Linked DNA regions of Tamandua tetradactyla. The protein of the gene in region 3 interacts with the protein of the main gene of each other region in a pairwise test. Links are inferred from orthologs where the notes say so. Each region holds a gene or a part of one and is shown on either strand. Other genes may lie near its edges.

Region 1 (6,948 bases), on a different chromosome or scaffold from region 3:
TTTGCAACTATAAATTTCCTTCTGAGCACTGCTTTCATTGCATCCCATAAAGTTTGGTATATTGTATTTTCACTTTCATTCATCTCAAAGTAGTTTCTCATTTCTCTTGTGATTTCTTCTTTGACCCATTGGTAGTCTAATATTGTACTCTTCTATTTCAACATATTTGTTAGTTTTCCAAATTTCCTTCTGATATTGAAATCTAATTTCATTCCATTGTGATCGTAGAACACACTTTGTATGAAATTAATCTTTTAATGTTTATTGAGGCCTATTTTTTTGGCTTAATATATGATATATCCTGAAAAATGTTCCATATATTCTTGAAAAGAATATATATTCTGCTTTTGTTATTTGGAGTGTTCGTTGGTGTCCATTAAATAACTTATAAATCTTCTATTTCCTTTTTATCTCTATTCAGTTGTTCTATCCATTATTGAAAGTGGGGTGTTGAAGTTTCCAACTATTATTGTTGAACTGTCTAATTCTCCCTTCCATTCTGTCAGTATTTGCTTTGTGTATTTTGGAGTTCTGTTGTTAGCTATATAACCCAAATTTACTTTTATTTGAAAGTAGCAACAACATGAAAATTATTAAAATAAGGCAGACTATGAAGTTCTTTCTATAATAGCAAAGTTCATTTGGTAGATAAAAATAAAATTAGGGGAAGCATGAACTTTCATGGTAGAAAATTTCATAGTATATGATTCCTCCAGACCATACCAATTCCAGGCATAGTGCAGACAAGGAGAAAGATGTTTCTCAGCAATGAAAGAGTGAAATTTTATTTCTTTGTTTTTGAGAACTAAAAGGGATCTAAAGTTTTGGAGTAAAAATATTGGATATATTTTATTAATGGCTTTCTCTGTCCCAGGTACTATACTAAGTTCTTCTTTGTGATGTTTCATTTAATCCTCATATCATGAATAAGGTGGTGTCTAATATCAACAGAACCTGATCAAGCATTCATGTGTAAGGGTGATGCTTCACGGAAGTGTTCCCAGGGAAATGGGTGAGGGACTAGGCATTGCAGGAACGGAGGGTGAAGAAGCCAAGCAAGGATGGGATTTCAGGAATGGTCCAGTGGAGGATGGATTCAGCCTGAACCCACAGAAGAACTCTAGATTGTAAATGATGCCCCAGATTTTCATTGTGAAGACAAAGAGCCTGGCTTTCAATTCCTCCGAATCATCAGTCATTGACTAAGGGTTGCTCAAGGAATATAAACTCCAAGGCCCTTGGACTGTTTCTGCTTATGTGCAAAGGCAGTCTGGTAGCCAAGGGAAGCTCCTCTGAAGGACCTGAGGTGCTCTTAGATGGTGACAGAGGGGTGCTCAGAAGATGAGAGGGATCAAGAGGTATGTCTGGACTGAGCACCCATGAAATCTACTACAGATAGGTACTCTTGTTTCCATTTTAGAGAGAAGGAAAGTTAGGCCAGAAGGCTAAATGTGCAATCACATAAAGAATGAGTGCAAATGTATCTGACTCCAAAGTCCTATTCCTTTCTCCTTATTATGATACTTCTAGTCATGAAGATATTGTCATTTGGGAACTTCCAAGAATTGTCTTTCAGAAATCATTATTCTGTTTTCTTAAAATAGAAACAATTTTGTCAGGGATACTTTACTTAGGATCTGTCAAATCATATGTGAAAATTTGCCTGCTTGAACGTGAGTTTTTCATGTGCCTTTCCAACTCGCCCCCCCACCCCCGGCCCAGGGAAAGAGTCGATGGCTAACACGAATTTCTCAAAGGAAATACAAAACACAAAAGGTTAAGAGCCACAATTTTCAAAGGCCAGTCTCCATATTTACCTACTTTCCTATGTTATGACTTTACTATTCACTATTACTTCTCTAAAATATCGGTTCTCATGAGTTTAAATTTATTAATAATAGATGGAAATTTGGGGTTATGACTTTTTTCCCTCTTCGTTTTTTGCTGCATGTCATAAATTTGTGAAAATTAGCTAAAGCTCTTTTAAATCACTCTTTAAACATTTGGTAAAATTCACAGTAGATTAATCTTATCTGAGGCTTTTATTTTATTTTGTAGTTGAAATCTTTTTATAATTATAAGCCCATTTACATTTTCTATTTCTGAATAGAAGCACAAAGAACTTTACATGCTATTTTGTTAGGCAGATGACTTACTTAAATTAAGGCAAAAAGTTCAGTTGGGGACATAAAGGAACTTGGTTTAAATTTCCATTGACCAATGCAGTTGGATAATTGCCAGATATTCACTTAGTGTCTGTATGGCTTACACATACACACACACAAACACACACAAATACAAACACACAACAACCTGGGTATCAAGTGAACAACATTAAAAAAAAATCCTAGTAATTTGCCTGAACAGAATTTTCCTGCTGTTTATGCCATATAACTGATCATGCAGTTAATCACCAGGCCTGGCTTTACAGAATGAATCTAAAGCTATCTTTTTAGTATTAAATAGCTAACCCCATGTCCTGAGAGAGCTCTCTGGACAGCCTCAGGTATCTGGATGTGTGAATGGGTGGGTGGACCCTGCCAGACCTAACTGCTAGAGTTACCAGGTAAAGGAAAAACTTTTGACAGAGAAATAATGCCTTTCCCAACAAGCGGTGCGGAAAAAAAAAATTGGAGAGGTTCAGATATACCCATAATTTTGGTTGCTTAGGTAACCTTAGCAATGTATTAGAATGTATTTTTAGAATACAGAATGTATCATTCTTCCCCATAATTTACCTTTCAGCCACCCACCACCTTGGATCAGATCCTCTTTTGTTTCTAGTTTAAATTTCATTGTAATCTAGTTTGATACTGAATTTGCATTCAGCGTCTTTCTAATGCTGCAAGAGAGAGGATGAATGACAGGATGAAGTTGTGGTGAGGCAATGTGAACCAAAGCTGGATCCTGGCTTTTCCTGGAGAATGCCCGGCATAGAGTAAGCGCAGGGCTGATTTGTTGAAGAAACAACGAATGGAAGGAAGGAAAGATTGTGTGGCAGTCAGGCAACCCCGGCCCAACTCTACGCACTGCTCCTTCTTAGAGAGAGCATAAGTGATGTTCATGACTCTTGACATTAATTATTTCAATTTCATTTCAACAAATGTTCGTTGCATAATCCCTAGATGGATGAGGCATTTCCAGGGACCCGTTTAAATAACAAAATATTGTAAATGGGGGTAAAGGCATCTTTTCCAACAAGCCCAGGGCCAGAACCCCGAGAGAGGCGAGACTCCGGAGTTTGAGCCCTTGTGTGCCCTGGAAGTGCTCTCCGCGCCCGCGAGCGCTGCTCTGCCGCCCGCACTACGGCTCTAATGTATCCTCGAGCCACTGAAAAGAGCCCTCATCTGTCCCTAGGTTATTCCGAGAATAAGTAAATCCCTGCCACTCAGCGTACAGAGGGAGCGGAACTCTGCACCCTGTTCTGTGCGCACACAGCCACCGCTACCCGTTCGGGAGCATCATTTGCATTTCTCGAGAGTAGCGATGGGGCGAGTTTCAGCTGCGCTTCCCCGGGCAAGAAGAGTAGAACTTTTAGGATAATCTGGCCTTGGGTATGAAAAGTGTCCTCCGGCCGAGCAAGAAAAGAGAGGAGGAAGGAGAGGGTAAGGGTGTGGGGGAAAAGGACTGCATTGCTTGGGCGCGACTGGGGCGCAGGTGAGGAAGTGAGTTCTGAGTTGAGCCGCTGTCGAGACGGCACAGGGGTGGAGAGTGGCAGGCGGTCGCACTCACCCGCTCTGGCTTCAGGGCCATCCGAGCCGTAGCCTTGCCCTGCGATCCTCCTCCGCGACGCACCTGGGCGCAGGAGCCTCCGGCCTCCTCCCCCACCCCAGTGGCCCCAGGTCCCCACCCCCGCCGCGCCCCGCCCCGGGCTCTGGCTCGGGGCTCCGCGGGGAACCGGCTGGCGGCGGCGCAGAGGTCTCCGGTGGCCGGAAGGATGGCCAAGGTCCCGGAGCTGGAAGACGCCTTTCTGCAAGCGCAACCTTCGCCCGGAGTTCCCCGGGAGATGCCGGAGGAGTGTTGTGTGCAGTTACTGGGTAAGGGCTTGCTCGCCTACCCCGAGGAAAGGGTGTACCTGGAGGCTGAAGCGCAGCCGGGGGGCGCGCTGGGCAGCGGGGAGAAGGAGGAAGATCCGGAGCTGCTGGTAGGAGTTAAATCAGGTGAGTGCTTTCACACACACACACCCCCTCCCCGGGGAAGTGATTGGGACGCGAGAGTATTCTAAGCAGGGCATCCAATAATAAACTTATACACAGTGCAGACATACATATAAGCAGAATGTTCTGTCCAGATCTTTATATTTCCCCAGGAAAATGTCAACTAGAGATTGTTACCTATTGGGGATTTTGCATAGCTGCGCCCCTGCCCATGACTGACGCAAAATTATGTGTAAAGGGTACTTGATTGATTTCGTACTCTGCTTTTCTCCATCATCTTTTCGACTGACAATCAGAAATGCATTTAAGCAATGGTAACTTTTCTTCTGAAGAAGAGGATGCAGATAGTCACGACAGCAAAACCAAAGTAGCCGATCAACACCTCTCTCAGAAGAAAACCATCACGCAGATTATGAAGGATAAAAAGAAACAGACTCAGCTGACACTGCAGTGGTAAGATTGTCCCGCGGGGGCACATCTGTGCACCTGTTGCTCTTTAAAAGCCAGTGTCTGCACCTTTGCTTTTCCTAATCTGCTTCTCCCTCGAAGCTTTTGGGGAAGTTAAAAACTCCAGTGAAAAATTCATTCAAAACTTTTTTCTCCTACTAACTTGTATATGTTTGTTTGTATAAAGTCATTCTGGTAACTGATCGAAAATTATCTGTAATAAATACGAACCACATTACTTTATGGTTTTTCTTCATCATGAGAACGTTCATTCAGTTGGTCCTTTCGTTTGTTATTTGGCAGTTATCTCATTCACAAAGCATAATTTGAAAAAAAAATAAAGGGAGAGAGGACCTTTATTTAACTTTATTCATGAGGGCAAATTAAAAATAGTGTATTGATCATAAGATGCATTGTATCTAAACTAGACAGAAAAATCAGCTTAGATATCACTATTAACTAAATAAATGTTGAACTATTTTATAGCACCTGTCACATATGAGCTGTTATAAAGAAATATCATGCATTGGATTTTTAGCAAATCTTTTAAAAACAAGAGATTATCAGTATGCTCTTTCTCTATGTACAGGATATTTTGTAATATTGATCTAAAAGGGAAAAAAGACCTAAAGTAACAACATAATGTAAGGATTTCCCTCATTATGTGAAGAAATAGAGTATACATTTCCTCCCAAATAAATCAACAAATCAATAAAAAGTGTTATTTACTCACTGATGAGTTAAATATTCTGTTTGTATGTCAAATCTGATACGAACTTTAGAAAAAGATAATAGAAAAAAATTGACAAAAACTAGTAAACTTTATTTTTATCTATTTAAACATTGAATTAAAATTTACATGCACTGATTTTTTGTGATTATGTACTTGAACTCTTTGAAATATTTTAAGTATTCCTCTAAAGCTATGGCTTAAATATTGTAGTTGATGTGTTTACTCGCTAAGAATACACTAGAGCTGTAAATAATTGACCCAATCATCTCGAATATTTAGGACAAAACTATTTTTGTTAGGATAACTGGGGCAAAATGTTTTGATTTCAGGTATATTATGGAGGTGTTTTGAATAATCACTCCTTTTTTTATTTCAAATTGAGTAAATGGAAACAATCTTGGGTTTTTATTTTATAAATATTCATACATTAAGTTTAAAGAAAATTATGACAAACTCAAATTTAAAATTTTACTCATGTTTATGATTACTTAGTATTTTTGAAGATAGGCAATGCTTAGAACAATAAGATGTTTTATTAGAAATATATATTTTTTGAAGATGAAAACAATGCCTAGAAAAATATTAATATAGGTGAAAAGTAGGGATTATGTGTATATTATAAAAATGTCATTTTTAAATAACTGAATATTTCCCAAAGTGATTTTCATACTTTTTGAAACTATGAAATGCTGTAATTTTTGCTGTAATTTTCTATACCCTCTCCAAAAAAGTGAGTGTTATACTTGCATCCTTTGAAATTATAAATTGTTTTGGGGATGTTAACAATTAGAACTGCAAACCAGAATGAAAAAATATGGCTGATTAACTCATTTTCACTGTCAAGAAGATGTTTGGTTTTATAAATGCAAATTGATTTTATACTTTAAATCCTTAGGTCTTACTGATTTTTTCCCCAAAGAAGACGAGTACCTGATGTTTTACCTGCCCAGGGAATACTTCCTTTAGCGTTTATCTTATGCACATTGAGAATATATTAAATCAGGAATCTTAAAGGGTGCCGTCATTTTAAATCTGATCGTGTACTCCGTATTATATTGTTTCCATATTATAATTATCATGATTTTACAACACATAAAATGGGCATAAGTAAGTTTTAGCCAGATTCACCTATTGAATTTTTAGAAGATCGAAATAAAATCTAAAGGTTCTGATTTCTAGATTGTTGTTCAGATAATTGTAACACATACACACATATATTTAATGAATTGATTTAAACTGCATTTGCAGAAATCCAGATTAAATATAATTATTTTTCAAATTTAAAATTCATATAATTATATTCATAATGTAAAGTTGAAATTATATGTCCTATTTGAAGGCAACTATAGAGAATTACCTTCTTTTAAGTGTACAGGTTGCCTTAAGTATTATAATAATGATCACAGCAGAAAAGGTAGTGTGATAGAAATAGATCAGTATCATTTCAGACTTGAGTGAAATTATTTTTGTGTATTTTGCAAATAATTACATCAAATTATTTGGGGTTCAGTACTTTTTAGGGAAGAAAAGTAAGGAATGTAGGCTTTTACCAACCTTGGTGTTGAGAATGTTGAGTTCTTTTAAAAAAAAATCATGGGCGGGCCGCGGTGG
Region 2 (7,701 bases), on a different chromosome or scaffold from region 3:
TGTAAAAATACCTAGATTTCAACCAAAATATATGAATTATACTACTTATTAAAATGAGGACAATGTAACATTGAATGCCATCAAAAAGTTATAATAATAAAAGGTTTTCACTTCTCTTTCCTTTGGAAAAACCTAAACGCAATGCTTGGAAAATTTTCCATCACTACTTACGAAAGGATCTATACATCATCCAAGAAAATGAGCAGCAATAGTAATTTTACAAGAACACATTTCTTTTGACATACACTAGAAAAGTAAAGCATAACATTTCTATGAACTTCTAAACCAGAAACCATCTCCTCATCTGTTACAATTATCCCCAACTACCTCACAGATAATTACAGTAACACTTGATTTATAAAGTGCTATACTCATATAAGATATTAAGAGAAACTAAAGGAAGCTGGATAGGATTTTCATGTTGATTTGTTTAGTATTGGGGGAGGGTGATGGCAATGTATTGTTTTGAAAATTACAAATTTTGAGGTAGAATATATGATACTTTTCAAACTAGTTCATTTATTAGCTATGTTCTGTTTCTGACTTTTGGAAACTCAAGAAATTGGGGTTTTGAGATGTTCTGCACATTCAAATTTACTTTAAAACGTGTAATTTCAAAAATTCAATCTTTCAGTAATCTTATGTTAGATATACGTAATACATATATTCAGATATGTATGGAGCTATATGGGCTAGTCATGGTGTTGGGCTCTAAAATTAGTATTACATGAAGCAAAGGCTTAATGCTACCATAAAACGCAGCTACATTACCTAAGCACAGGGTGCTATGGGACTACCTCCAAGAGGACCCTAAAGGAATCAAGAAAGGGGATGTCAGGAAGGACTCCTGAGGAGCGGTGCCTTCACAGTCTAGAAGAAAAATGAGGATAGATCTAGGGGCAAATTCTAAGGAAAAGAGGGCAATTTCTTTCAAAAGATGGGAGAGAGGCAAGAAGGCAGCTGTGGGGAAGTACAAACAGCTCAGATTGGTCGGAATATAGCAAAGGAGAGAAGGGATCTGAAACTCTTAGCAGACAGGAGACCTTAGATCAGGATGTGACTCCTCTTTGGTCACTTAAGAGTCAACTCATCTGAATGAATCTGCTTCTTCAACTCTGAAGAATATATTAATAATGTTGTGAGAGATTAAGCGTGACATGTCAAATATCTACTATGTACCTGGAAAAAATGGGTGGGCCACGAATACCAAATTCTCTTACCTTCATTTGTAAATGGGCAGATGAGCATTTGGTTAAAAAAATGAATACTGAAAGAATACCCGCCTAGGCTCAAAGTGCAGCTCTTCACTGGCTGGCTCTGAACCTTGGACAAATGAAACTGTCCAAACCCCACAGGTTAAAAAGAAAATACGAACAGTATCTACCTCACAGAGGAGCTGGAAGACTTATACAATAAGTAAATCTCTGACTCGTCTGGCACATAGCAAAAATTCAACAAATACTAGCTTTTATAATTACTATTACAGGGTTCTTATCTTTCAATCTCCAAACCTTTGAAAACAAAAGAAACTGTGCCAATTTTCGCACAAAACTTACTTGGAGGCAAAACCTGAACTGAGGCTATTTGTAGTTCCTATTAATTCCCACTTAAATGAGTGGATATTCACACCTCCACAAATAAAAGTTGGATGTTTGGGTGCTGCGACTCACGCGGGGGACGGGGGGTATTATCAGCTGTTTAAGCACCAGACTGTATTTCTAAAATCTAAAGGAAAAATCCAAAGATTTCTAAATTCCAAAACACACTGGCCCCAAGGGTTTCAGATAGAAAACTAGGGACAGCTATCATCCGTTTCTCCAGGAGAGATGTCAGAAACAGTCCCATCTATGCATCTCAATTCAAAAGTTTCTGGGGGCAAATTAGTTTTGAATAGGGGGATCCGAGACACCAGTATCAACGAAAATCTGTATTTTCCCTTCCTCCAAAACACTTCTGAACTATTTCTGAGGTAACAGTCCACCTGCAATAAGGCTCTGTTTTCAAAACAGGCCTGTACAACTACTAGGTGCACAAATGTGTATTTCTCTAATAGTAATGCTATAAAAAATAATTTCCAGTCAAGTGGGCCTGGACGGACGGGTCAACGTCAGAATCTTTATTAAAAGCACTATTGTTGGTTTCTAAAGTATAGAGAAAAAAGATTAAGCTATTTATGAACCGCAATACCTAATATATACCCCAAGATCCAAAAAAAAGAAAAGAAAGCATTACAGAACTCGGCACGTCTCGTATTTCCTGTCACGGGTATCCAAAATTGAACGCATTGTCCCCAACTCGTCTAGAGAATAATCAAAACGCTGTCACCCTGACAATCACCTCAAAAAAGCATCAGACTCCTCTAAGTATCTAATTCAGGGCTTCCTCCCTTTTTATCAGAAATTAATCAGCAGGGGCGGGGGGTCTGCGCCAAGGGGCGCGAGGCCTACAGTCCTCCGGGGCCGAAGAAACAAAGGGAATGCGGGACCAACCGGAGCGAACCGGCCTCCGAGCGGGTCGCGCCCGCCCCGGCGGGTGGGGGAGGGGAGTAGGCCCCGCCCCCACCCGGCCTGACGTCAAGCGCCGAGAAACCCGCCGGGCGTGACGTCACCGCCTTGGATGCCTCGGACGCCTTCTCCTTGGGTGGGCGATGGGGGGTGGTGGCGGCCAATCTGGGGCCCGCAAGGAGGTGACCGAGAGAAACGCTCACCTCCCAGGGAGGTGAGCACGGCCCAAGCACCGGAGGAGACTCGAGGCACCGCCGTTACTGAGCCCGCCCTCCAGCCCTTCAACGTAATCTTTCCGGGCCCGCTCCGCGACTCCCACCAGCGCCACAGCAGCCTCACCCGGCAAGATCCAATCCGTAGCAAGGTCTAGAAGCGGCGATGGGTACGAAGGAACTGAAGGCTGACGAACCAAACGCAACCTGACGGGCGGCGGCGGCAGAAGCGGCAGCAGCAGCGGCAGAGGCAGCGGCGGCAGAGGCAGCGACGGCGGCAGCAGCGACGGCAGCGCGCGGCTCCTCCTGGCGCCGGAACAGGAAGCGCCTAGCGTGCCTCCCCCGCGCGCTCCCGCCCCTCCCCTCGCGGCTGGTCCGGCGCGCTCCCTGCAGGCCCCGGGCAGCACTGCATCCGGTCCCGGCTGGGCGGTGCGGCTCTTCTTAGTCGGCGGGTGGAAAACTCCCATGTTTTCCAAAGTTCCTAGGACTAGGAAGAAACGCCTGTGGCCGGTGAAGTTCAGGGGAAATTGACAACTTGTTGCCTTGAGTGGCGGCTTGAGGCCAGGCCCTATTCTGCACCCCTAAGCGCAGCAGTTTTTACAACCGGGCCTCGAAGGAGGCTGTGTGTGTGTGTGTGTGTGTGTGTATGTATGTGGCCAGTTTGCTGTGTGTGTGTGTGTGTGTGTGTGTGTGTGTGTATGTGGCCAGTTTGCGCCTAGCAAAGGACTCAGACATTAGACACCCATAAGCCAAAATTGGAGTTGAATGAACAATGCAGGAAAGGAAAAACATTTACACATTTACAAATGGCTTGATAAATTGCCATTAACTAAAGGAACAGCTCTCTCTTCGCATTTTTCCTGAGCAATGCCTCTTCTCCGCACATGTTCATTTTTGAATAACCGTTAAGCACCTACTCCGTGTGAGGCCCAAAAGATAAATGACATAGTCCCAGCCGTCAGTGAGCCACAGGCTAGTAATAAAGATGTGATAATTACACGGTGTGCAAAAAATAGTTGAAGCTAGTTGTTAAAAGTATGCTGTACACTACATTATTTTGCTTGTGTAAGGCGTTTGTGGGTCAGTGGCCGGTCATTGACTATGAACTACCTAGATGAAGACTTAGCTTTGGGTGTGCTCGCAGCATATACTTCTCATACAGAAATGAGCAATAGAACATCAGATACCTAAGTCTTGGAAAGACATAACTTTGGATAGGAGTACAGGGCTCTGGTCTATTGACAATCACACCACTAGTGTGGATAAACCAACCCTGACTTATAAAAGGCAGTTGACCAGCAGTGCTTTGCAGAGCCCTACTGAAGCCTGAAGCAGAAGGAAATATCAGTAATCCAGATTCTGCATTTATCTAAAATGTTGATATTTTGTTCCACAGAATATTTTTTTAAAACCTCACCCTAGTTGTGGCCTCTATTAGAATGACTGACAGCCTCCAGATTTTTCCTGCTGTTTCCATTCAATAACTGAGCAGGGTTGGGGTTCTAGAGCCAGGCGATTCTTGTTCTATGTTGGATTTTCTACGGGCAAAGTTTGTTTGGAAACTAACTCCCCATATGGTTCTGAATATTCAGAATTGCACTGCAGTCTGAAGCCCACTCTACCCAATCTTTCCTTCCAGTTTTCCTTTTACAGGTGTCAGATTTGCAATGTTGTCTTTAGACTTCCCCACCTTCTCCTATTTCCTCCCCCTTTATCCTTCATGGGTGTTTCCCTCAATAAGTCTGTTGTGCATTTAATCGCATCTTGGCATCTCTTCTTGGAAGACCCAAACTGACACATGAAAAACTAAAAGGAGTGTATTGTAAATTAGAAAATTTGTGAGACTACAGAGTTTTAAATTTTTTTTTACATATTCTAAGTTGAACATGAGAGGCCATACAATGTTTTAAAAACAAAATACAAAGCCTTTGGATTTCATATATTGTTTTAATTAAGAAGAAATGAGAATTTATTCAGATCAATTTATTTAAAGTCACAGCCAAGAAGAAACATTCAACTCCAGGATTAGAAATAAAAATGAAAATAGTTTACTTTTGGGGAGGAAGGGGTGGAGAATAAATCATACAAGCCTGATTGACAAGAGTACTAATAGTTTTGTGAAGTTACTACTTAAGCTTTGTACATTCAAGTAGATATCAAATTCATACTTGGCTTATAGAGTTTATCCAATTCTGGTAAAGACAGTATTCTTTGAGTAAACCTCTGAGTTTTACACCATGTCTCTCAAGTCTGAAAGCTTAAATTTGACTACATGTATGGCAAAAATGATTATCTTTATTTCCTGCAAATGTAATCAATTTTAAAATAAGTTAGGCAAACATCAATTTTACATAGGCCTTCTAAAGTGTAGGAGGAAATTACAATTGTTCATCTAATTGCAGAGTCCAAACAGTGAATTCAAATCTGGAGTTACCTCTATTGTCAAAGCAAGCCAGGAAAGGTTATTACAAACTAAAAGATGTGACTGTGATTCTGCAGGGTCTATTAAAGGGATACTTTGAAAATCATTACATTACTACTTAAAAGCTGTACTTATTTTCAAGTATGCCCCAAGGGCCACTTCTTAACTTTAGAATTAACCTATAGAAAGCCAAGTGACAAGTATTATTACCTACATTTTCTATATAAGGAAATGAAGGCAAAGAAAGATTTAGGACTGAATAATCTACTCAAAAGTCTAAAGTAAATCAAAGATAGACTTTGGCTTTATTTAGAAAAGAATTCATATGCCCTAAATCCCTTTCCATTGGGTTATATCCATCAGTCTACATTTCTAATTAAAAGCCAATCTATTTTTAAAATTTATGTCCATTTTGTGTCTAGTATCTTAATGAATTAAAGTAGTATAGATAGACTCTTGCAGCACTGCTCAGTTTTTCTACTAGGCCATTGAACAAAAGAAAAACCCTTTGTGCTTTTGGTTCTTTTTTTAGAAATTAAAAAATGAGTGTACAATTGATTGTTAAAACAAAAATTGTTAAGTTTTTTTCCCCCCAAAGTAGAAACAATTATTTACTTGACTCAAAATCTTTAACTCATTTTGGCATTAAGTTACCTAATGCTACAGACTATTTTACATTAGAATTTTTTCCTTGTCTCCAGGAATCTTTTTTTTTTTCATGGGCAGGCACCGGAAATCGAACCCGGATCTCCAGCAGGGCAGGCGAGGCTCGAGCCACCATCGCCCGCCCTCCAGGAATAATTTTAAAGTATACTTAAAAGTATACTTTCCTGAGACATCTGCTCCACCAAAATCAATATATAAGCTGTTTATTGGACTCTGATTTATAACTAAAAGTGACAAAACTCCATTTTTTAAATGCAAATGAGTGTATTTATAAGAGTTAGGTCTTAAGGTTTTTGTTACATAGGAAGGAAGCTCTCTATTATGTGGATCGATAAAATGATCCAAACTGAAGAGAAACAGGAAGCTGATAACTTGATTTATCTTAATGGCTTTGTCTCATGAATAAATAATTTGTCTGTGTTTTTCTTATAAAAATAAATGGTATTTGTTCAATAATGTGAGCCCTACTTACCACATTTGTTCTACTTTTTAAAGGATTTCCAATTTCTAAGACATTCTTTATATTATTTATGTCAAAACTTTAACTGAAAGCAACTTTTTGACCACAGTTGGCCATTAGATGAAATTCAAGAAAGAACACAGGTTTGATCAAATCAATAAATCTAGCCACAAGCTGACTAAAAGCTTCCTTTAATCTTCTTCCTATTGGGTCTTCCTTTAAATTAAAGCTTTCCCTCTATGAATTATTTAAGTGAATGGCATGGTTATAGAAAGAGCACATTACTCTTCATACAAAAAACACAAGGAACCTAAAGAAATCCATTTAATGTATTTCAGGAATTATAGTATGAATCAAAGATGCTGTAGCTTTAAAAAAAAAAAAGTGGTGGTGGTGGTGGTGGAGAGAGGATGTCCTGAAAAGCTTCAGAGAGAAATAGAAAAGTCAAGTTTATTTCCTGATTAGTGCAGTATTATTCCCAAAGTGCAGTTAAGTGTCTGGTCCAGACTAGCTGTTAGTGATTAAGCAGTTTCCTTTCACTGTCAAGGCTTTTCCCTGAGGTAATGCTTAAATTTTTAATTTTAATATTTTATCCTGTTTCTTTTAGCACAATCCTCTCTTGCCAATAAGTACTACAGATTTCCACCATGCTGAATGTTTTCTCAACACTGGATTTTACACTTTTCAAATGTTTGCCATGTTCAACTTAATGATTTACAAAATTTATATTTAGATAAATTTGTATGTCTTCACATCTTCTCAAAACTTAGCCATTTTAGTTATCTCTCAATACTTTTTTTTAACATTTTAAAATGAGTTATGCTTTCCAAATATTTCCTCACAAAGTCGCAGAGAAAGGGTTAACCTTTCTAAATTCCAGTTCCTTACACTGTTTTAAAACATTAATTTATTGTTACTTTTTCCCTTTCCCTTCATGATAAACAATTCCCTTCTCAAGTATTGATATTTCTACTTTTCAAATTTCTTTTCACTGTAGCAGATACCAAAGGTAAAATGCAAATCATTTCAGAGTAAATATTCTGTAAATATTCTCTTCCCTGCTCTCACTTATTAGGTCAACTACTTTAAGGTTATAATTATGGCAGTATTTTAAAAATGTTAACAGCTGCTAATACGTTGAGGTTGGAAAAATAAGAATACCAAGAGAAAATATATCACTAGCAACTAGTTTGAATTATATGAAAAGCTACTTAGATCTTGACTTTCATACAAACACTATTTTTTACTATTATAAAAACAACATAATTATATTTCATTTTTCTTTATAAAACTACCCTTTAACAGAATATTTGTTAGCTAGTCTTCCTTTAGGTTTTTCTGTACTAATAAAAAGTTATGTTTAAAAGAAAAATACTTAAAATTATAATTGTTTCACAGAAACAGAAAGTCTTATTATCAAATCCTGATAAAAACTAT
Region 3 (7,540 bases):
CTAACAAATTAGCCCACGTTCTTTAAGACAGCAGACTCCTGGTCTAGAGAGCACAAGGTACCAACCACTGTGCAGACACGCACCCCGTGCCTAGACACATCCACCCATCACTTACTTACCCATCCCTTGGCCAGATGGCCATCTCTTACCCTTGCATCCCTCACCGGGAATGGGAGCCATTGGAGCAGGGCTAGTCTGAGTTCAACCACTCCCCGACTGGGCTCCCAGGCCCCAGGCCTCTCCAGCTTCACATCCCTCTACCAGGCCCATACCACAAGTTGGCCCAGCTCATCAGCTCTGCCCTGTTCTCCAGAGAGCTGCTGCTCTGTATCTCCCCACTGCACCATGAACAGTAATGATAACTTACACTGAGAAGTTCCCGTGTGCCTGGGGGCAGGAAGCACCTTGCAAACCCAATGAGATCCAGGCCCCCTCCCCTCCAGGTACCCAAGCCTTTTCACAACCCCACATAACCATGGCATCAGGGGCCTCAGAGCAGGGATACTTGGGTTCTGAGTTGGTGGAAAGCAAAGGAGGGCAGGTCTTGGCCAGGGAGTCAGTCACTCAGGTACAGGGGACAGTGGAGTGTCCCTGGAAAGTGGGGTCCTCTGTGATTTGGTGTTTCTCATCAAAGTGCACTGCATCTCACTCCTGTACTTAACCACGTGCTTGGCCGCATATGGGGCCACACAAGACTCCCTCAAACTTCTAGACCTCCCATGTCTGCTCCTTTGGTTATTCTCATCTGGAATACCTTCCCCTCCACATGTCCATCAATCCCCAAATACTCCCACTGGCAGAACCACAGTCAGAGATTCTGTATATTCTGACATTGACTGTCCAAGTGCCAGGCCAGGCTGGGAGTACAGCAAAGAATAACTCAGTAAACTTGCCTGGGAGCCTAAGCAAGGTGTGAAAGACCTATATTGACCACATACACTGACATACGACTGAGGGGATATGTGAGTGGGGCTTTGAAGATTGAGTAGAAGTTTGCCCAGAAGAATTCTTTCTCAGATAAGCTCTAAGAACAAGTTGTATTTCCCTGCCTCTTTATCATCACACAGGTTTCTGAGGAACCCCTGGCTTTTCCCAACACCCTTGGGATGAGTTTCTAGCACATGCTGTGTACACAGCACACATCAGTATATACTATGCACCTGCCACATGCCCCCAATAAAAGACCTGAGTACATATATTTACTGTCAAAATGCCAAGGTGTGAGGATATAGACTGCTGGCCCTACCAGGTAAGGCCTGCTGGAAGCCCGAACTGAAGACCCATTTTCAACAAGTAGCAGGCTATCTCTGCCCTGGGATGCAGGGTCAGCAGGTTTTCCTTCCTTCTGATCAAACCACATTTAGGGATAGCTGCATAATGCACTCCTGCCTAGAAATTTTGGAGAGCTTTAGTGCTGGCTTGGCAACGTGCAAATAATTGGGTGATTGTGAGCCCAAGGTGGCTTCAGGAATAAGGATCAAGCTCATCACACTTAAGGCCCAAGCAAGGGCCCCTGGTCTGCTAGCAGGGCCTTGAGGCCAGTGCCTGACCCTCTGCCAGACACATTGTCACTGTCAGAGCAGACCTTGGAACCAACTCCCAGCTCCACTTAACCTCTCTCTGCCTCAGATTCCTCATCTATAAATTGGGGTAACAGCGACTACCCCCCTCTGCAAATTAAATGAGTTAAGATTGACCACTCTTATGACAATAACTGGGTACACAATTTAACTAAACCCAATTCTCTGCTGCTGCTCCAGTCAGCTGTTTCTTGTTCAGAGTGGGTTGAGACTCTTTATTAAAACCATTAAGGGCCATGGGACAGTGGCTCAAGGGCAGAATTCTCACCTGTCACGCTGGAGACCCGGGTTCGATTCCCGGTGCCTACCCAGGTCAAAAAAAAAAAAAAGAGGAAAACCATTAAACACCAGCACCAACCAGAGCAAGGTGAACCCTAGCAGGTGACAGGTTAAGGACAATTTCCTCAAAGGACTGGGCAGATCGTCCAGGGAAGACAGAGCCACAGTGTGGAAAAGAAGTCAGCGAAGCTACCCAAGACGTTAGGAAAATTCAGGAATGCTCAACGGTGGTTTTCCGCTAAACCTGCCTTCTAAAGAGAAATGGTAGGACATGCAACGTTTCACCGTCAAAACTGAAGGTTTCTGTTGACAAAGTGCTGGTGAAAGGTGTCCCCCAATGCAGGTGATGCTAGCTCCAGAAACCACATTACCAAACTCAGAGAGAAGGGAAACGATGCGAAGCAGATCTGAACATTTCTGTGGCGAGAGTGGCTGCTGGCCCGGGTGTCGCGCTGAAAATCAGCCCGACCTGCGACGAAGAGCCGGCGACTCGCGGGTCAGCCATCGAGCCCCTGGGGCGGCCCGGCCTCACGGGGGACCCACCCCTGGGTGATCCAAGGGTCGGCACCTGGAGGAGGCGGGCGGGGCGCGACCACCCGGGGTTGTCCCCGCCCTGCCCGCTGAGGTGTGCGCCGCGGAGAGTGGCGCCCGCCGCCGTCCTCGCCATCCAGGCTGGCAGCGTAACTAGACGAGCCCGCGCCCCGGGGCCCCGAGGGGCGGCGGGGAACCCACAGCCTCTCACCCAACCCAGGCATCCCCCGCCGGTCGCTCGGGCCCCTGCCACTCGGACAGCCCCCAACAAAGTTGGCCCGGGCTCGGCGCGCGCGGCTCCGGAAGCGCCCCTGAGGGCACGGCTCGGTGCCCCCGGCGGCCCGGCTGCACACCGCGCTTTGTTCCCGCCGCCCTCCCGCGTCCCGGCACTCGTGCGCACTCGCCAGCACCTGCGGGGCGCCCCACGCCCACCTTCTGGATGGTCTGCTGTGTGACCTCCCCTTTCCCCCTCGGCCGGGCGGACGCGAAAGCCACGGACATGTCGACGGCGCGGGGCTCAGGCCTTAATCATGAGGGGCTTATTCTCCGGCTGCGCTCCGCGGCCGAGGGCTCTCATTCTCCGCAGTCGGTGGGGGGGCGGAGGGGAGGGCGCGGGGGGTGCCGCATCGTGGGCTCGCCCACCCCGACGCCGCCTCCGCACCCTCCGGCCCTCCGGCCCGCGGGCCCTCGCGCCGGCTACGGCAGAGCCCGAGCCCCGCGGTGCGATCCCCAACAACAGCCCAGCACGCCTCGCCCCCACCACCGTCACTGACTGCCCCACCCCCGGCCGGGCCGCAGTGGTTTGTTCCGACCCCGGCGCGGGAGCGCGCCGCACGCCGCCTTACGCCAGCAGCGTAGGGTGCCGGCCGTGTAAAGCAGCGTACGGCGCCAGTAGCGTAAGGTGCCAGCCGCGTACAGCACTAGCAGCGTAAGACGCGAGCAGCGTAGGGCGCCCCCAGCGTAGAGCAGCGTAGGCCGCGAGGGGGCCGGCGGCGGCGGCGGCGCAGTGGCGTCGGGAATCGCGCGGTGCGCAGCGATGAGTGTGCGCTTTTGAGGCGGTGGCGGCCACAGCTCTCCGTCAGCCAGGCTGCGGCCGCGCCTCCGGCCATGAGCTACGACCGCGCCATCACCGTCTTCTCGCCCGACGGCCACCTCTTCCAAGTGGAGTACGCTCAGGAAGCCGTCAAGAAGGGCTCGACCGCGGTGAGGCGGCACCCGGCGGGGTTGGCGGGAGCCCGGGTCCGGGCCTTGCGCGAGGCCGGGGATCCGGGCGGAAGTGGAGCTGGCTGGCCGGCGGCGGGGAGGGCCGGGCTGCCCCTGGGTCGTCGTCGGGAAGGTGCGCGCCCCGGAACAAGCAGGGAGGCCGGGGGACCTGGGGTCATGCCCGGGGGTGGGCGCCCTGGACCCCGCCGCCAGGGCTGCTGTGTTCCCGCGCGTTTCCGTGCTGTGGCCCGCGGTTCCGTGTTGCCGTTTGCGGCGCAGTGTCTCGGAGCCCAGGCTTGGGGCGCCGGCTGCGCGTGTCCGAGCAGGACCTGTGGTAGTGCCGGGGGCGCGGGCGAGCGGCCCAGCCCCGAGCCGCCTTCCCCCTGGCCGCAGAGCGTGTGTTCTCAGTGGGCCCCGGCATGCGTCGCTCGAGTCGCTCTGTCGACCGCCTCGCCTTCGCCTAGGGAGCAGCCTCTTGGTAAATTGCCTCTTAAAGTCAGCGCAGTGACATCAGCGGAGCGCCCGGGGAAGGCACGGCGGCGTCGGTGTCCTTAGACAAACTGGGGAAGTCCTCGTGACCTGCTGTCCCGCTGGGGAAGTGTCGGTGTCGCTTTCTTCTGTTTGCACAGAAAAGCAGAACACGCGCACTGTGTGGGGCCGTTTATTCCCTATAGTTTGGGCTTGGGGCGGCAAGGTGGGCCGTTGAATTTTAATTTGAAGGTCATAAACTGTAGATGTTTACTAGTGGTTTTCAGAAACCGCAGAGGTCCCCGAGAGAAGTGCAGGATTCAAAGTCACTCTCGTCTCTCTTTAGCATCTTTGGTTGTCAGGGTGCACTGTCCCTAGCGCGGCGAGGTGACGCGGTGACGGCCATCTTGGGCCTTCACCTTTGCACTCTGCAGGCCGAGGGAACCTGGGGTGCAGGGATGGTATGTGTGGGTGCTGATGCACGGCGGAGCAACAAGAGAGCTGGGGAGTGTTACAGGTCTTTCCCCACCCGGGGGAAAGGAGAGGGAGGCAGTGGTCCTCATAGGTGGCAGGGCAGGCTGTCCTGGGTCCGAGGCTCAGCAGTGATCCAACCCCTTGTCACTTCATATCTGAGCAGGTACCTCTTGCCAGAACTATCGCGCATGTTGGGTACCCTTGGTGTTGCTGTTTGCAGTTTACACCCATGGTGTCTTTGAGATAGTTGTCTGTTTTCTCATTGGTCAGATTGCATGATAGATTTTTTTTTTTTAATCACCTGGTATTTGAGGGGTTTCAGTGGGTCAAGCAAAGCCACAGCTGGCTGCTGGGGCAGCAAGGGGAGTGGGGATGGGGGGCGGGACAGCCGACTCCTCTCCCAGTGCTGTATAAGTTGAGTTAGGCCAGCAGATAGACCTGGAGCCTGAGTTTCAAGACAACCAAAAATTCAAGAAATGAAAACACTTCAAAAATTCACAGAACTATGTGTGAAAGCTGTGGCTTTGCTTAACCCACCGAGCTCTCTGGGCCTGGGCTTCTTTCCCTCACCATTACTTTGAAGATCATGTAAGACAGAACAAGAGAAAGCCCTTGGAAACTCAAACACATTTTCAGTCAGTGGCGATTTAGGCAGAGGTTATTTGGCAGCGTTTGGAGACGTTTTTGGTGGTCAGGTCTCAGGAGGGGGGTGCTCCTGACATCTTGTGGGTGGCAGCCAGGGGTGCTGCTAGACATCCCACAGTGCCCAGGACGCCCCACAACTGAGAATTACATGCCCTAAAATGCCCATCCTGCAGAGGCTGAGAGACCATGCTCCATGCTCTGAAGTAAGAGGGGATTTTACTTCTCCAACTGTGCCATACATGTCTGTTCCTGTCTTGACTGGAGGGGTTAACTGGCCATCGGTGTTTTTTTGTTTTTTTAATAATGGCCACACCAATTGTCTCCTCTAAAGTGTCAGCTGTGAAAGGGGAGAGTTTGACCTCCCAGTAAATGCTGATACAGTCATCCCTCCATGAAAAGCGGCCCCTCACACAGCTGTGTGCCTTGGCTATTCAGGCACAGAAAAGAGGGGTGGGGGAATAACTCCACAGCTCCAGAAAACACCGCTTCCAGAATACCTGGCTTGAATATCTGGGTCTGGGGCTTAAAGGCCCTCTGCTTTGCTGGTTCATTAGTGTGAAATGATACAGGGTTACAGATTATATGGTGCTTAGTTAGTTATGCTGCCATTGGAACTACATAATGGTCTTTTAAAGGCACAGACAGCATCAGGCACTTTAGGTCAGGATACCTGTGCTGGTTCCACCAGTGACATTTGGGGTGTAATGTCAGCCAATGGAGGAGGGAGGTGCTCCCCCACCTTCTGGGGCTGCTTTCCCCAGGATGTCTGTGATCTATGTTAATGTCTTCTGCTCTTAGTGTTTCTTTGTGTAGGGGCAGAGCCTTATGTTGCTTTCTTAAGTGGTGTGTTGGCTCTCATTGAAGGTTGGTGTTCGAGGAAAAGATATCGTTGTTCTTGGTGTGGAGAAGAAATCAGTGGCCAAACTGCAGGATGAGAGAACGGTGCGGAAGATCTGTGCGCTAGATGACAACGTCTGCATGGCATTTGCAGGTATGTGTCTGGGAACAGTATTCTGCTTCTTAGAGTCCTAGCACAGAGCAGAGCAGTGGAGTCCAGCTTGGGTGGATGGGTTATTACAAGACGGGGGAAGCTGAAAACATTTAAAAGAAATTATTTGGAGGGTACACGGATGGTTACGTGGAAGAATGCTCACTTTCCATGCAGGAGACTTGGGTTCAATTCCTGGACCAGGCATCCCCACTGCCTCCCCCCCGGCCCTGAATAAAAAAGAAAAGAAATTATTTGGAACTGTAAAAAGAGCTGGCCAGAATTTCTTTGGGCCCCTCTCTCAAGTGGCTAAAGCACAAGTCACTAAATAAATAACAGAGCATAGCTGCTGGGCTGTCACAATCACTGTTTATTTTTAGCACTTCACTGTGATTTTCCCATTCCATTTAGTTATGCTCAAGAGAAGGGTCAGGCTTTCTAGAGCGAAGAATGCTCCTATTAAAGGGTCAAATGGAGAGGATGGTGTCCTGCCATTATGAGCAGCAGCAGCAGGATGGTATGCATTGACCATTTGCCCTGTGCTGGAATGTTCTAAGCACTTGGTGTGGATTAACTTATTTCATCCTGAGCAGATCCATTTTAGGGGGGTTCCAGTTCATGTAAACCAAATTAGGGATTAGTTTGTCTTTCAAAGGATTCTTAAGAGGGCTCAGCTAGTGTGTCTAAATGGGGTCTGCTCCACCCTTGTTTTTATATGCCCAGATTTCTCTGCTGTTGGCTACTCCACAGGACCCCGTGGGTTTCAGAGGCAGGTTTTGGCATCTTTGCCAAAGGTTAATTGCTATCCTGCTTGTGTCATCTGTATCACGGGAGCGGGTGGTGTGTGGCAAGGATGGAAACCCTGCTTCCCTGTCATGGCAGGGCTCACCGCCGACGCCAGGATAGTAATCAACAGGGCACGGGTTGAGTGCCAGAGCCACCGGCTAACCGTGGAGGACCCAGTCACGGTGGAGTATATCACCCGCTATATTGCCAGCCTGAAGCAGGTAGGTGCCAACCTGCCTCAGTGCAGCTTCCTTTCATGGAAAGGGTCCCACGTTACTTCATGAGATGTTTACGTGTGTAAGAAAACAAGACTGCGTTTGTCCCAGGGTTTGGTTCTGTTCTTTCATTGTACACCTAGAATTTACTATAACCTAGTCTTCTGTGGCATCTTTGTTATTTTAGTGGTATGGGGCAGTCACAATCTGTGTTTCTGAAGGAAAATAATAGTTTTTGCTTTTGCCTTGCCATTCTGTATGGCTGACAACCAAGCACTTGGGAGGGGACTAGAAGCCCCTTCATTCTGTGGTAATATGCAGTTGGTCCCTAAAACCATTGTAACCAGATAGGGAACATCTGTCCTTCATTA

What was found.
Region 1: the proteins of SS18L1 (region 3) and RFX6 interact in binary tests that used the Homo sapiens proteins (3 or more experiments, as listed by UniProt). The two-hybrid records come from large-scale screens. The link is inferred for Tamandua tetradactyla from reciprocal best matches to the Homo sapiens genes SS18L1 and RFX6.
Region 2: the proteins of SS18L1 (region 3) and MAPK1IP1L interact in binary tests that used the Homo sapiens proteins (3 or more experiments, as listed by UniProt). The two-hybrid records come from large-scale screens. The link is inferred for Tamandua tetradactyla from reciprocal best matches to the Homo sapiens genes SS18L1 and MAPK1IP1L.

Annotation. Positions count from the first base shown.
Region 1 is NC_135331.1:177,780,473-177,787,420, forward strand, and holds the start of RFX6 (DNA-binding protein RFX6), read left to right. Parts: upstream 1-3,937; coding exon 3,938-4,160; intron 4,161-4,453; coding exon 4,454-4,610; intron 4,611-6,948. UniProt on the Homo sapiens protein: Transcription factor required to direct islet cell differentiation during endocrine pancreas development. Specifically required for the differentiation of 4 of the 5 islet cell types and for the production of insulin.
Region 2 is NC_135338.1:11,053,401-11,061,101, forward strand, and holds the start of MAPK1IP1L (MAPK-interacting and spindle-stabilizing protein-like), read right to left. Parts: upstream 3,012-7,701; 5' UTR 2,844-3,011; intron 2,526-2,843; exon of another isoform or gene 1-2,525.
Region 3 is NC_135327.1:59,721,297-59,728,836, reverse strand, and holds the start of SS18L1 (calcium-responsive transactivator), read right to left. Parts: upstream 3,023-7,540; 5' UTR 2,892-3,022; coding exon 2,823-2,891; intron 2,659-2,822; exon of another isoform or gene 2,602-2,658; intron 2,477-2,601; exon of another isoform or gene 1-2,476. Other genes in the region: PSMA7 (proteasome subunit alpha type-7), read left to right, coding at 3,498-3,593, 6,045-6,171, 7,051-7,175. UniProt on the Homo sapiens protein: Transcriptional activator which is required for calcium-dependent dendritic growth and branching in cortical neurons. Recruits CREB-binding protein (CREBBP) to nuclear bodies.